Linked DNA regions of Rattus norvegicus. The protein of the gene in region 1 purifies or fractionates together with the protein of each later gene. This does not show direct contact. Links are inferred from orthologs where the notes say so. Each region holds a gene or a part of one and is shown in the gene's direction. Other genes may lie near its edges.

What was found. The genes of interacting proteins can lie anywhere in the genome.
Region 2: the proteins of Polr2j (region 1) and Med26 purify together in Homo sapiens (affinity purification with mass spectrometry; 5 studies listed by BioGRID and IntAct, with this or other methods). This does not show direct contact. The link is inferred for Rattus norvegicus from reciprocal best matches to the Homo sapiens genes POLR2J and MED26.

The regions. Positions count from the first base shown.
Region 1 is NC_086030.1:26,177,615-26,184,165, reverse strand, and holds the end of Polr2j (DNA-directed RNA polymerase II subunit RPB11-a), read left to right. Parts: intron 1-1,602; coding exon 1,603-1,692; intron 1,693-3,432; coding exon 3,433-3,607; intron 3,608-4,159; coding exon 4,160-4,195; 3' UTR 4,196-4,517; downstream 4,518-6,551. Other genes in the region: Lrwd1 (leucine-rich repeat and WD repeat-containing protein 1), read right to left, coding at 4,582-4,722, 4,817-4,929, 5,018-5,173, 5,306-5,397. UniProt on the Homo sapiens protein: Core component of RNA polymerase II (Pol II), a DNA-dependent RNA polymerase which synthesizes mRNA precursors and many functional non-coding RNAs using the four ribonucleoside triphosphates as substrates.
Region 2 is NC_086034.1:17,331,140-17,338,641, forward strand, and holds the start of Med26 (mediator of RNA polymerase II transcription subunit 26), read left to right. Parts: upstream 1-2,630; 5' UTR 2,631-2,898; coding exon 2,899-2,970; intron 2,971-2,994; exon of another isoform or gene 2,995-7,502. UniProt on the Homo sapiens protein: Component of the Mediator complex, a coactivator involved in the regulated transcription of nearly all RNA polymerase II-dependent genes.

The DNA.
Region 1 (6,551 bases):
AGGCTGTCCTCTTATAGGAGCGTGGACAAAGGAAAGAAATATTTGTGTACTGAGTTTGAAAAATTCTGCTTTAGAAAAAAGCAGTAATCCTTAGCTGAGTGGTGAATTTTTTTTTTCTTTTTTTCGGAGCTGGGGACCGAACCCAGGACCTTGCGCTTGCTAGGCAAGTGCTCTACCGCTGAGCTAAATCCCCAACCCCTGAGTGGTGAATTTTAACCCACTTTTAATCCCAGTACTTGGGAGACAGAGGCAAGAGGATCGAGGCCAGCCTGGTCTACAGATCAAAGTTACAGGACAGTCAGAGCCACACAGAGAAATGCCGTCTCAAAAAAAAAAAAACCAACAAAAACAAAACCTGCTTAAGTAACTGCTCCCTGGTGTATAGATAGGAGGCCAGCACAGGGCAGATGTGTTTTCTTGTTTGCTTTTGTCATTTGGGGATTGAACATAGGGTCTGCCCCATGCTAGGTTGGTGCTCTATGCTAAGCTATATTCCAGCTCCACCCCCTACCCCCAACCCCATTTTACAGTTTTTGATCGGTTCGGGAGATGGCTCAGTGGGTAAAACATTTACTGAGGACTTGTGTGTAGATCCCCAGAAGTCGTATAAAAACTGCTGAGTTCGGGGTTGGGGATTTAGCTCAGTGGTAGAGCGCTTACCTAGGAAGCGCAAGGCCCTGGGTTCGGTCCCCAGCTCCGAAAAAAAGAACCAAACAAAAAACAAACAAAAAAAAAAAACTGCTGAGTTCTGCTTCCAGTGTTCCTCCAAGGACATGGGAAGTGGTTACAGGAGGGTCAGCTAGCATGGTTTATCCCCATGGCAAATGAGACCCTAGCCTAAGCAAAGAGAAAAGCCAGGACGACGGCTGAGGTTTTTCTTTATCCTCCTGCCTTAGCCTCCCAGGTTGCTGGATTACTGGTCTTATCTACCAGGCAGGCCAACTTTGTTTGAATGTTGGGAATGGTAGAGCTGAGAGACCCAGAGGCTTATACATGGGAGGAAAATGGTCGGCTATTGAACCATGCCAGAGCTCTTGCAGGGTCCTTAATGGGTGAGCAGACTGAAAACGGCTTCCAAGAGCTAGACCTATAGCTCAGTGGTTGAGGGCTCTGCCTATCATGCTCAAAACCCAAGGTTCAATTCCCAGTAGCACTGGGTCTAGTGGAGCTTGGACTTGCAGAATGATGGATGTGGGCCTGCCTTGATTGTTAGGGGTTAAGTGTCTCCTGACACCCCCTGCCCCCAAGTCAGGGTTCTCTGTGTAGCCCTGGCTGTCCTGGAACTCACTCTGTAGACCAGGCTGGCCTCTGACTCAGAGACCCACCTGCCTCTGCCTCCTAGACGCTGGGATCAAAGGTGGGCACCACCACTGCCAGCTGGTTCTTGTCTTCTTAGTAAGAACTTAGTCAAGAGCTAGTTTAAGGGAACTGTTCGTCAGCGCATACGTTGGGAAGGGCCAGGTACCTTAATTTCTGAGGTAGTGGGAACAGCCCAACTGCAGGTTCAAGAATGTCTGAGCACAAATGGGGACATTGTGATGCTCAGGGCCAGTATCCCAAGGCTGGATGTGGGCTTGAGCTGTTGCCTCTGTCTCTTTCCAGAATCACCATTAACAAGGACACCAAGGTGCCCAACGCTTGCTTGTTCACCATCAACAAAGAAGACCACACTCTGGGGAACATCATTAAATCGTAAGTCTCCCCCCACACTGGGTGAGTACCACACTCTGCCAGTACCACCAGGGCTCTGTAGGCTGAGCACATGTCCTGCAAATGTCTTCCACTCTCCTCTGTGCTCCAGTAAATCAACCTGGCCTCACAGGTCTGTCCACAGAAGGCTGTTCCTGTGTTGGCTTCTGACACAGGGGCTTGTGTAGTGTAGGCTGGCCTCAGACTGTGTAACAGAGGACGACCTGATTGTGGACTCCTTTCCTCCTCGCCACTGCCTTCCAAGTGCTGGGATCCCAGCTGCCTGCTGGCTGGCCTGCGTGTGTGGTGTACAACTGCAGCGAGCCCCAGCAATTGCCTCTTGGTCTTTTGGTTCAGATCAAGTCAGGGAGCTCTAGCAAAGCAGGGTTTCATTTTAGTGGGCATTAAGAGGCAGCATTAATGCCAGCAAGTGTTGGTGTTGTGGAACACACCCTTAGTTCCTGCCTTCGGGAGGCAGAGGCAGGTGGAGCCTATAAAGTTCAAGGCTAGCCTGGTCTACATAGTGAGCTCCAGCACAGCCAAGAGAAACTCTGAAAAAAGATAAAGAGGCCAGCAGAGGCATCTGCGCTGATGGTGGTTGCAACTCTTCTTTAGCCTCCATCTTTTGTCTGAGGCAGGATTTCTCTGTGTAGACCAAGGCTGGACTCAAAGTCAGATCTGCCTGCCTCTGCTCCGAGTGCTGTGTGCAATTAAAGGCGCGCGCCACCGCTGCCGGGCTAGCCTCCAACTTTTTAAAACTTATTTTGTGTTTTTTCCTTATGTGATTGCCAGTGCCCTCTATGGTACTGAATTCCCTCCAACAGCAATTATAGACGGCTCCCATGGGACGTGGGTGCTGGAGACTGAACTTAGATCCTCTGTAAGAGTCGTAAGTTTAAAAAGAGGGAAAAAAAAGCCTTGTTCCTGACTGCTTTGCCTTGTTAACCGGCTATGCTTGTCACCCGTGAAGGCCAGAAGGCATCAGGTCCTCCAGAGCCGGATGCTTGTCAGGTGCCGTGGAGCGAAGGCTCTTCTCTAGCTCAGCCTGCAGCCTAGGAAAGGTCTGTGTATGCGAGTGTCTGAGCTAAAGAGGATGTCGGCAGCCATGAGCCGCTTGCTTAGGCTCTGTACAAGGGCAGTAGGTGCTCCACCGCTGAGCCATCTCTCCAGTCCAGTCTGCCACTCGTGTTTGGGGGTCCTAGGGGGTGGATCACCTGGGACTGGGTGAGAGGTGAGCCACCCACTACGTGGGTCCTGGCAGAGCAGCCAGTACTCTTACCCACTGAGCCATCTCCAGCCCCCACTTCCACAACTCTTCACAAGGTTGGCTGGGCCTGCTTGCTGTACCTAGGGATGGGGCCGTTGGTTTAGGTGAGGCCTGCAGACACGGTCATGGGTTCTCAACTAATGTGGTTCCCAGACAGGGTCCTTCACCCTTGTAGACACAAGGTTCCCATATGGTCTTGGGTCCCTGTAACTTGATTTTCCCCACTCTAGTGCCTGGAGGGACCTCAGGCCTCATGAATGTTAGGCAAGTTACTCTACCATGGCGCTCCATCCCCAGCCGTGTCTTAAGACGGGCTCACTTAGCGGCCTAGGCTGGCCTTGAACTCCCAGTCCTCTGAGCTGCCAGAATGAGGGCCTGCACCACTCACTTATTCCCAACTGCGCGTGGGGGGCCCTTGGTCAGCACGGCTGCCAGGTTTGACCTCCCTCCCTCACTGTGAACTCCGCGTTTCTCAGGCAGCTGTTGAAGGACCCGCAGGTGCTGTTTGCCGGCTACAAAGTCCCTCACCCCTTGGAGCACAAGATCATCATTCGTGTGCAGACCACCCCAGACTACAGCCCCCAGGAGGCTTTCACCAATGCCATCACAGACCTCATCAGTGAGCTCTCCCTCCTGGAGGAGCGATTCCGGGTGAGGAGCAGGGGTTAGGCGGACACTGGTGGGCTGCTGCTGTGGCTGTGCGTTATGCTGTGTCATTTAGTAGTGGAGCTGCCCCAGCACTTAGAATCCCCGTGACATGTATGCTGGGGCGTAGCTTGGTTTCATGTTTACCTAGCACCATCAAGGCCTTGGGTACAATCCCTAGCACCCCGGGGTGGGGTGTGGGGTGGGGGCTGTCCCTGTGCCACTGGCTACTCTGGCTCATAAGGCCCAAGGACTCCAAGCCCTTGTCTAGTAGCCTAGCCATTCTTCCCAGGGTAGGAATGACAGTTTAGTCAGGTGCCCTCAGTGTAAGGTAAGCCACACTTTTTGATGCTTCACCCAATTGGGTGTGTCCCACACGGCTCCATCCCCGGCCCTCCGCAAGCAGATGCCACAGAGCAGGGTGGGTGAAGTCTGCTGAGGTATCTGGAGCCCCTGGTCTGCCTCCTGCTATGTCCTCTGGACCAGAGTCTTGGTGCCCTGCAGTCCCGATACACTAGGGTGATTCCAGCATAGTCACTGCCTTTGTCCTCCATCAAGGTGGCCATCAAGGACAAGCAAGAAGGAATTGAGTAGCAGCTGAAAGAAGCTCAGTGGCTGTAAGGCTGGTGCGTGTATCTGCCCTTCTCCGTCCACCACGATGGCGACAGCCACTCTCAGCTCTCCAGCTGGGCACAGGACACTGTCCCATTCTGTACATAGACTGTTATTTTCCTAATAAAGTACAGCAAAAGAGGGGCTGTGCGGCATGTGGCCTGTCACTGAGACCCAAACCACAGGCTGGGCAGAACCTGGGACTGCTGGGCCTGCCTGAGTTAAGCAAGGTAGGAGCCCCAGTGGAGCCTGTGTGACTGCACTCACTTCCGACAGTAGAATTTAATAAAAAATACTCACTGGTACAAACCCCTCTAGCACTAGGCCCAAGCTAATAAGCCATGTCCTGACACACTGCCTTGGGCGGGCTAGCATGTCTTCCAGATGGACACGATGTTGGAGTCCGTCAGAGCAGTGAGGTAGGTGAAGGCTGCATTGGCCACGACTGTGTTTACCATGGTCTTGGTCACTGGTTGGCCCAATGCTACTGGCTGAGGCCACTTCAGGATCTTAGGAGGGAAAAAGCAAATGCTAGGCTCCTGCCTATCCCACAGCAGCCAAGGGGTAACCAGGGTCTGCAGGGAGCCAACGTCACAGCAGTACCTGTGTTGGGGGCTGCAGAGTTGTTTCAAGTGGAGGTGGCTGCTTCAGTAGGTGTTCAACATCGTAGATCCACACACTGCCTTCCTCGTCTCCACACAGCACGAGGTTTTTGTCTGCCAGGACGAGCGGGAGCCTGAGATGGGGCCGGGCGAGGGCAGGGGCGGGGGCAGGAAGGGAGTGTAACGGGGTGGGCAGGCTCACCAGGACAGGTGCTCAGTGAGAAGTAGGCCAGGCTGGTGGGTGACCACTGCAGCTGGGCCAGGATGACTACAGGCAACACCGACTGGCTGCCCCGGCTTGCCCATGTCTGGCTCCAGCTCCACAGGTAGATGGTGCCCTGTCCACTCCCTTTGGAGGCTGCAGGGAGAGGGGACATGAGCCCAGGCTGACTGTGTGCCCAAGCGGGCTGTCAGTATAACCTCCCTAACAGGCGCCTCAGTACCCTCAGAGCTGGGCCCCAGCCCAGGGGTCCCAGCTACGTTCACTCACCCACCACATCTTCGTTCACAAATGCCAGCCCATCCACTCTTTGTCCCGACACCTCGGAGTCCCCAGAGAAGACGAAATTCACCTCACACACCCTGTAGAAGACACTATCCTTACCCAGGCGCTAACAGCTACCACCTCACCCAAGAAGCTGTGGTCCTGCTTGGGGCTTGGTTTTTGGCCCAGGGAGCTTTAGCTTTGTCTTAAAGGGAGTCACAGGGATGGGAACATAGGGTCAGCAGGGGCTGGACATCCAGGGCTATAGGCCAGGAAGTGCTTTCAGTGCCCCTCCCCCCAGACCAAGGACAGAAGAGCTGTGTGAAGGGCGGGGCTCACTGGTGTTGGTCATTCACTCTACTCAAGCTTTCCCTGCCACAGGTCCCTTCCCTCTATAAACCTTCAAGGCACAAAAGTGGCCAGGCCTCACTGTACAAGAAAAAAAATCCCACCAATCCCCAACACCCAGGAAACACCCATCCCCAACCCTATATAAACCCTGTGTTCTGCCCAGTTCTCTGCTGCTTCTGGCCTCAGCAGAGGCAGCCACCCCCACCCCCTCGAGTTTCCCTCCCAGCTAATCTCTTGTGTGAGGTTTGTGGTGTGGTGTGAATAAGAGATTTGCTGGCAACACCGAGGAGATGGGCATAAAGCAGCAGTAGCTGAGCTCAGGAGAGAGTGGAGGAGAGGAAACTAACCATGGGGAAGATAAAGTAATTTAATGGGTTAAATAAGTTATAAGCTAGTCGGGGAATGAGCCAAAGCTTGAGGCCTAGCCATTTACTAAAGTCTCAGAGTTGTCCTTCCAGGAGGAGAGGTAGAAAAAGGAAAATAATTGTTTTTTACAGAGACAAAAAACAAGAATACGTGACAGCAGCTCAGACCTCAGCAGCCAAAGCAAAAGCCCAGGCTCCCAGGCTCTCTGGCCCCCATAGCCCGAGAACCTCCATGACCCTGCTTCACATGTGATCAGGACGGTCTCTGGGCCCAGGCCTGTCTGAACCCTCATAAACCACCTGGTCCATGTCCAAGGTGCCATCAAGAAGGTTACTGGGGTTTTTACTGCCCCATGTCCCTCATGGTATGAGGACATCAAGCCCAGACCACCCTTCAGCTGACCTCCTTGATCTGGCTATGGATGACTGAAGGGCCCCGAGCTCTCCTGTCCTGACCACCACCATCTTTGACAGGGAGCCTTAGGGGGTCATCACGGTATCAGAGTGATGACCACTCTCCTTCCTTCTGGACACCA
Region 2 (7,502 bases), on another chromosome or scaffold:
CAGAGCTGGGGACCGAACCCAGGGCCTGGCGTTTGCTAGGCAAGCGCTCTACCACTGAGCTAAATCCCCAACCCCGGCTATTGCTAAGCATAGAAATTAACCATGAAGAAAATAAAATGAGAGGCTGGAGAGATGGCTCAGCGGTTAAGAGCACTGTCTGTTCTTCCAGAGGTCCTGAGTTCAATTCCCAGCAACCACATGGTGGCTCACAACCACTTATAATGGGATCTGATGCCCTCTTCTGGTGTGTCTGAAGACAGGGACAGTTTACTTATAGATAATAAATAAATCTTAAAGGGGAGAAAAAGAGAAGTGCCAGGTCTGGTGGGTGGTGCGTGCCTGTAATTCTAGTGCTTGAGGAGGTGGAGGCAGCATGAGGAGCTCAAGGCCAGAGCTGTGAGATGAGGCAGCAGTTAAGAGCACTTGTTGTCCAAGAAGGACCAAGATTCAATCCCCAGTATGTACTCACAACTGTATATAATTCTAGCTCCAGGGACCTGACAACTACTTCTGGCCTCTGTAGACACTAGGTACACATAGGTGCACAGATATACTACAGGCAAAACATTAATATCAAAAAAGAAAAAGTTTCAAGGCTTGCCTAGACTACATATAGTCTCAAAATCTGGGGAGAAATCTAAAATAGCAAAGTCAACAGGTAAATTGAATACTGTCCAAGATGTTTTCCTGATTTGATCCATGCAAAACTACTTGCCAGCTTAATCTATACTTGTTCTGATAAAAGGCATACTCTACCACTGAATAAACAGGATAGCAGGTCTGCAGGGCAGGATGATGCACTTAATTCCAGCTCTTGGGCAGCAGACTCAGGTGGATCTCTGTGAGTTTGAGGCTAGCCTGGTCTCCATAGCAAGTTTCAAACTAGCCAGAACTGAATAGTGAGATCCAGGCCAGCCACAGTGAGATCCTATATAAGGGGAGGAAAAAACCAAAATCAACTATTAAGTAATAAAAGACAGTAAGTTGGCATACACGAAACCCTGCACCAGGGAGACACTGATAGGAACAAAACGTTTGAGACCAGTTCAGGCTTCATAAACCCTGCTGAAAAGCACCGAACTAGGAGCCAATGTTGATGGATGACCTTGTTTATTTTGCTTATCTGGTGAGAAGTGAGTCTTCAAAATGGGCTGCTTTCCAATTTGGACCATGAACTCCAAACACGTGCCAGGGAGAGAGTGTATTTGTTCGTGTTCATTGTACTGGTGTAATGAAAAGTTCTCTGTCACATAAAGAATCAAGAAACCAGCCATGCTTTTATTTTCTGGGTGGATGGGTGGGAGAGAACTAGTCTGGAACTCACTGTGTAGACCAAGCTGGCCTGAACTCCAGAAACCCTCCAGCCTCCCGAGCGTTGGAAAAAAATGCCTGGTTCCCCACCTCCCTCCAGCACTCCCTAGAAGTATAACAAATTAAAATTAACAGGTGTCCCGCAGCTCTCAGGAGTACATGTGATTTTCATTACCTGTTTCCCTTCCGTTTCATGTCTGGATTTTTAAGGTTACGACACAAAACGAAAGTTATTTCTCCCGAAGCCACTGTAATACAGTGCGCTAAACTCGGAGCCCGCCCTCCCACTCCACCTGCCGGAGACCACAGCCCTTATACTTGATATCCTTCGTTTCTTGGTTTGACCTAAAACTCACGGTGACCTTGGCGCTTCCCTTCCTCCTCGGTGAGGCGTTCCTGTTTTCCAGTGGCTGGGGTGCAAAGCAGGGATCGTTCCGTCCGCTCCGAATGCGGAGGGGACGATGCTGAGCGATGGTTCCGCATCCTGTTGTGCAGACAAAGACTGGCCACCTCCAGTTCGCCTCTCAGGAGGGCTACAAGAGCGGTGCTTCAACGCAAGGCCCTGGGTTCGGTCCCCAGCTCCGAAAAAAAGAATTAAAAAAAAAAAAAAAAGAGCGGTGCTTCTTCTTGAGTTCCAGCCCCTCGTGGATGCACAGCCAAGGTGTCAGCGTCGCGCATGCCTTGCAGACTCGAGCCCTCGGCGGAGGCGGCAGCTCCCATACGTGCCCTTAGGTCCCAGCAGCGCGCGGGTCACATGGGGACACTCACTGCCCTGCAGATCCGCGCCTGGGGCCTCTGCAGCGGCGACGGCTGCGCCTAGATTCTCCGAGCTACTCGCCGCACGGGTCTCAACGCAGACAACCGCTGCCCTTCTTAGTGTCCCTATGGCCGCTCCAATCCTCTGATTCCTCAAAGCTAGAGGTCCTCATCCGGTGGAGGGTCTTACCATTCCGCAACCCCAAAGCAGTTAGCAGGAAGAGCCGGTGTTCCAGGACTTGGCATGTGAGCTTCCGTTAGGAAGCCCCGCCCCCTAGTCCGGAGTGGGCGTGACCTTCGGATAGCGTCCGTTGCCACGCCCAACCGTCTCCCAACGGCTCTCTGGATCCGGCCTTAGAACCCGGCGGCAGGACCTGATAAGTGCGCATGCGTGCGCGTGCGCAGAATCAATGGGCGGGGCTCACAAGCCGGCCCCTCCCAAACCCGGCGTCTCCACCCGCCCCCATCTCCCAACCTCCTCAGCGTGGCGCCGACGCTGCGTGCGGCGCGGGTTACCCAGAGTGCTCAGCGCGGGGGCAGCTCACTGGAGTTTGGTTCTCGAGGCGGCGGCGGCGGCGGTAGTGGCGGAGGCTTCTCCGTCGGCTCCTCCTCCTCCTTGCTCGGCGGTGGCGGCGGCGGTCCGGGGCCTGAGCTCCGGTCCCCTCCGCTTTCCTCCGTCCTCCGCCATCTCCCCGAGCGCCTCGACCTCCTCTGGCGCCGCGGGGAACATGCGGCTCCGTTCCCGGAGGCCGGCGAGTGACTGACCTGCGTCCCCCCTCCTCAGCCTGCCCGCCCGCCGGCCCGGCCGCTCCCCCCCGCTTCGCCCAGGCAATGACAGCGGCTCCGGCGTCTCCGCAGCAGATGAGGGACCGGCTGCTACAGGCCATCGACTCCCAGAGCAACGTAAGTGACTGCCGCGCGATCGGGGACCGAGGCCGCATGTGTCGGGACCCTCCCCCTCCGACGCGCCCCTGCCAGGGGTTCTCTCCGGGCGGTGATCTGCCCGCCACGGCCGCTGCCATCTCGGTGTCTCGTTCTCCTGGGTCCGGAGGCCGAAGGCAAGGCGGGTACCCCGGCAGCTGAGGGTACCTGAGGCCGAGGCTTCACGCGGCCTGGACTGAGGGATCGTTCGGAGCTTTGATGAGAGCTGGTTCTCCTCGGTTGTCCCAGCCCGGCTGCCCTTGGTGCTCCCCACCGTGCCCTTCTTGCCTCACCCCAACCCCGGGAACTGAGAACCCCCCGGAAAGGTCTCCCTGCCGGGGGACAAGGTAGAAAGCAACTGGTGTCTCCGCGATGACTCGGGTAGCCCGCGTCTCTGGAGTCTTGGCCTTTACTCCCCCTCGGTCTTCTAGCGAATCCCCTTCTTGGATTCGTAGGGAACCCTAGGCCTGTTCTGCCATCAGTCTGTCTTCCTGTGATGCCTGGAGAGTATCCTCTCTTCTGATAGTGGGTCGCTTCCTAGAAAAGACGACTCTGCAGAGAGTGGGACCCTTCCTGTCACCTCTCTTGGCCTAAATGCTCCATTGCGCGTCTGACCAGTAGCTAAAGCCTGGGATTTTAGTACTGAAATACTGCCGATCACAGTAGATTGTTCTCTTATCCCTATCTTCCGGTCCTCTTTCCATCTCTCTTGCTCCACCTGAGGTGCTTTGGACTCTAGGCTGTCAAGATTTAATTGTAAGGGATCACACTTTCCTCTGTCAAGAGTCCTGTGAGCAGTAGGACGCCTTTTTTCTTCCTGTGTGAGTGTAGACTAATTTTACTTGTTCTTGTATTTTTTCCAAAGGTTTGTTGGCAGTGCAGGGGGCGGGTGTCCTTGTTGCTGTCAGGAGTAGGGCCATGGGAAGATGCACAGGCATTCAGATATGAAGTGTTTGCTGGGAAACCAGGAAGTGGCTTTTGAGATCACTTTTTAATATGCCCAGGATGGAAGAAAAAAAATCATCTTGGACCAGGTAACAGAGGTTTGAACCTTTTTGGGTTCCCTTGCCTATGCTTGGCTAGTTACTTGTAGCAATGTGCTGTATTGTGTGTTCAGAATAATTCACATTGTTTGTGTGGTCTTGGTAGAAATAGAGATGTTCTAGTTTCTATGAGAATCTACTTGCCAGATTCAAAATTATTCTCTTCCTAGTCTTTAGGATCACGTCGATAGTAATTTAGTAAATATTGTAGACTTTTTTTTTTTTTTTGTGGTGGAATAGAGACAGGCTAGATAAAAATCTTCTAGAAAACCTTTCTTTTTTGGGGGGCGGGTTTAAGGGTTTTTTGTTTTGTTTTGTTTTTTGCCAGTGATTGGTAATAGCTGACTAATCACATGATTGATATATTAGGATATTAAAAGGTAAAAATAAGTGATAGGAAAACATAGCCTTGATGGCTTTTGCATCTTTGCTGAAGCTATAGTGTATAGTGTAATCTTTTTGATGTTGTTTTTCGAGAAGGGTTCCTCTTCTGTGTAGGTCTGGCTATCCTAGAACTTGCTCTTTGACCATGCTGCTGGCCTCAGAGATTCTCCTGCCTTTTCCTTCTGAGTGCTGGGATTAAATGCTTGCACTATCACTGCTCCTCTCTTCCACATTGTAAATCTTACACCTGTGTAACTCCTTGCTGAGATCTTCTCAGAGATCCTGACTGCTTGCATGTGAGAGTGTTGGGATCAGCAAGTGCTTTGACAGGTAGTCATGATGTTGTAGATCAGGTGGGGTCCAAGTGCTAGGTAAGGGTCTGACTAAAAGACCCTTTGGGGATAGAAGAAGGAAGATAGAGGGCCCAAATTTTAGTTTGTGTCTTTTTTCTGAGACTGTCTCTGGAAGTCACTATGTATGTAAACCAGGGTGTCCTCACAGAACCTGTCTGCTTTTACCTGCTTTAATCCCAAATGCTGGGATTAAAGGTATGTGCCACCATGCTTGGCCTCCAACTTTAGTTTCTTGAATCTTCCCTTGGTCCTAAGTGCTCATTGGCCTGTGAGTAAGTTGCTTGGAGTGTGTATCTCAAAGGGCTGTAGTGATAGGAGACCTTGTTGTGGCTGGAGTTGAGAACTTATCTCTGAGTGAGGAGGGGAGTGTTTCCCTAGATGCAATGTGTCAGTGACTATCCACAAAAACAACTAGGTATATGTTCTAGGGGCTAGCTTTGCAGAATCTCTTTGTAGAATCAGCCTGGAGCACTGTCCTCCATTTCTTGCTGAGGGGTGCCCGGCCATTTGCATTGTCTCTGTGATTGTTCAGGGCCCAGGTAAGAGCCGCATGTTGGTGCAGGGATCTCTGCTCTTGCTCTGATCTGCCCAGTTATGAGCTCCACCACTTGGTAATTGACACATATTTAGGATGTTCATGGAAAAAATACAAAACGGGGACAGAGTTGAAGAGTCAACACTAAAATTAACCCTCTTTAGAGAGAAGTGACAGAGAATGGTGTCATGTAATGCTTACCTTTATGAGTATGCAATTATGGCTAACAAATTTAGCTATTGGCTTAAAAAAATCAGTGCCAGGCAGCTGACCTAAAGTCCACAGTCTCTGAGGTTAGGAACATCTGACTGACCAGCTCCTTGACCAAGGAAGTCTCAGGAAGATAGCCATCCTTGGTCTGTGTTCAAGCCTCAGCAGCAGCAACCACTGACCTGCCAAGTCTGTACTTCAGGAAGGCCCCTCTCTCCAAAAGACAGCTAACGGACTTCGAGAACTGTGGAGGCCTCACGCACCTCAGTGTGTTTGCTCAGCTCAACATGTTGACAGTCTCTGAACTATACTGTACATCTGTTTGTCTTATGAATAAAGGTGAAGGGTATGACTTACTCTTACGCAAAAATCATAGTGAGTTCCCATTTGGCCAGTAACAGGGTTCTTAGTCCTGTGGTGCCCTTGCTGTTTGAAGAAAGTCTGGGCCATGTCTTCCTGAGAGATCAGCTCCTCATATATGTTCCATGTCTTGCCCCCTTTCCTAGAGAAGAGTCCTTCTTTTCTGAATTTTGTTTTCAACTCTTGAGCCTATGATTCAGGAGTTGCCTCTAAGTCCCCATTTTCTCAAGAAGTCCTGTGCTCCAGTCCTGAAGGCCAGCTGTGGAATGGCCTAATGGGAACATTAGTGACTGAGAAAATCACAGGTGGCTTGAGATATGTCTGTGGGGAATGTGAGTGTGACCTTATGGTTAACATATTTCACTTTTAAAGACAGTGGAAAGACAGACAGAACAGTCTCATAGCTAAATAGTGAAATGGTGGTTCAAGATGGGACCTGCCAAAGGCAGCTTTGTAGCCCTGGTTACAGAGCAGTGGGAGGACAGAGAAGGCTTGGTGAAGGAGGACTCAACCACTGCTGGGCTCTGGAACAGATGTCAAGAGCTGCTGTCTTCCTCTCACTCTTCCAGAAGCAGACACCATGGCCATCATTTCCTACTTGGAATCACTTGCCTCTGCTGGCCGGCAAGTTCCTTGCAGCAAAGGGACTGGGACTGGTGGACAGTCCTGGAAGAGTTCTCTCCAGACCCAGGTTCAGCTCTGGAAGGGCTGCAGTGGCCTACATGAGTTGTTCTGGAAGGATTTCTTCAGGAATTTGTGCAGGGTGGATTGTATGAACTTTTTCAGCTGTCTACACCCCTACTTAATTTGCTAAGGAGAGATGTACACCCCTAATTAATTTTCGGGGTACCCTGACAGTGTGTTTTGTTCTTCCCAGTAGCCCCATAAAGGGAGGTGAGATGAAGCCAGTCTCCATTTCTGACAGCATAATGCTGTGGCTAGGAGAGGACAAGATGCTTTTGTTTCTTAGTGATTTCATGTAAGGTGACTAGCCCAGAGTTAGGTACTTCGAGTTAAGTGACAGCACTTATGACATGGAATAGTATCAGGTTATGGTTGAGAAATGAAGACATGACCTTGGACAAAGCATGAAGCAGGGGTAAGCTGGTGTGAAGAGGGAGGGATGCAGTGTGGCAGTGTGCTCTCATGCTGGCCTTGCTGATGCCCTGGCTCAGAGTACCCTTTGCAGCCAACTTATGTCATTGTCAGGGTGTAGAAGGGTGTCATGAGCTGATGGCATTGCTTGAGTAGGGTAGGCTTGACCTGCTAGTCTTAGGTGATCAGAGCTGGGTGAGAGTTCCTGTTAGCATTGCAGGGGCTCTGTCTTTGTGTCAGTGGATGTGGAACTTTGCCTGTGTCTTGCTTTCTGCTGAAAGGTGATAGCTCTTTTGACACTAACTTAAAATGCCAGTGATCCTGTCAGAAAGGATACAGGAGTTGAGTGTGTTAGCTCTGCTGGGTCCTCCACATTGGTATCCCTGTTCTTTGCTGGGATCAGCATTCAGGAGAACAGCAGAGTGGCAGTTCTGACTTGGGAATCAGGTTTTGTTTGATGTTTTGTCTCCCTGAGGAAGGTAGACTTTGTCCTCAGTGAGTTTTTAGATGGTCTCAAAGCTGGGAGTTTGGTCT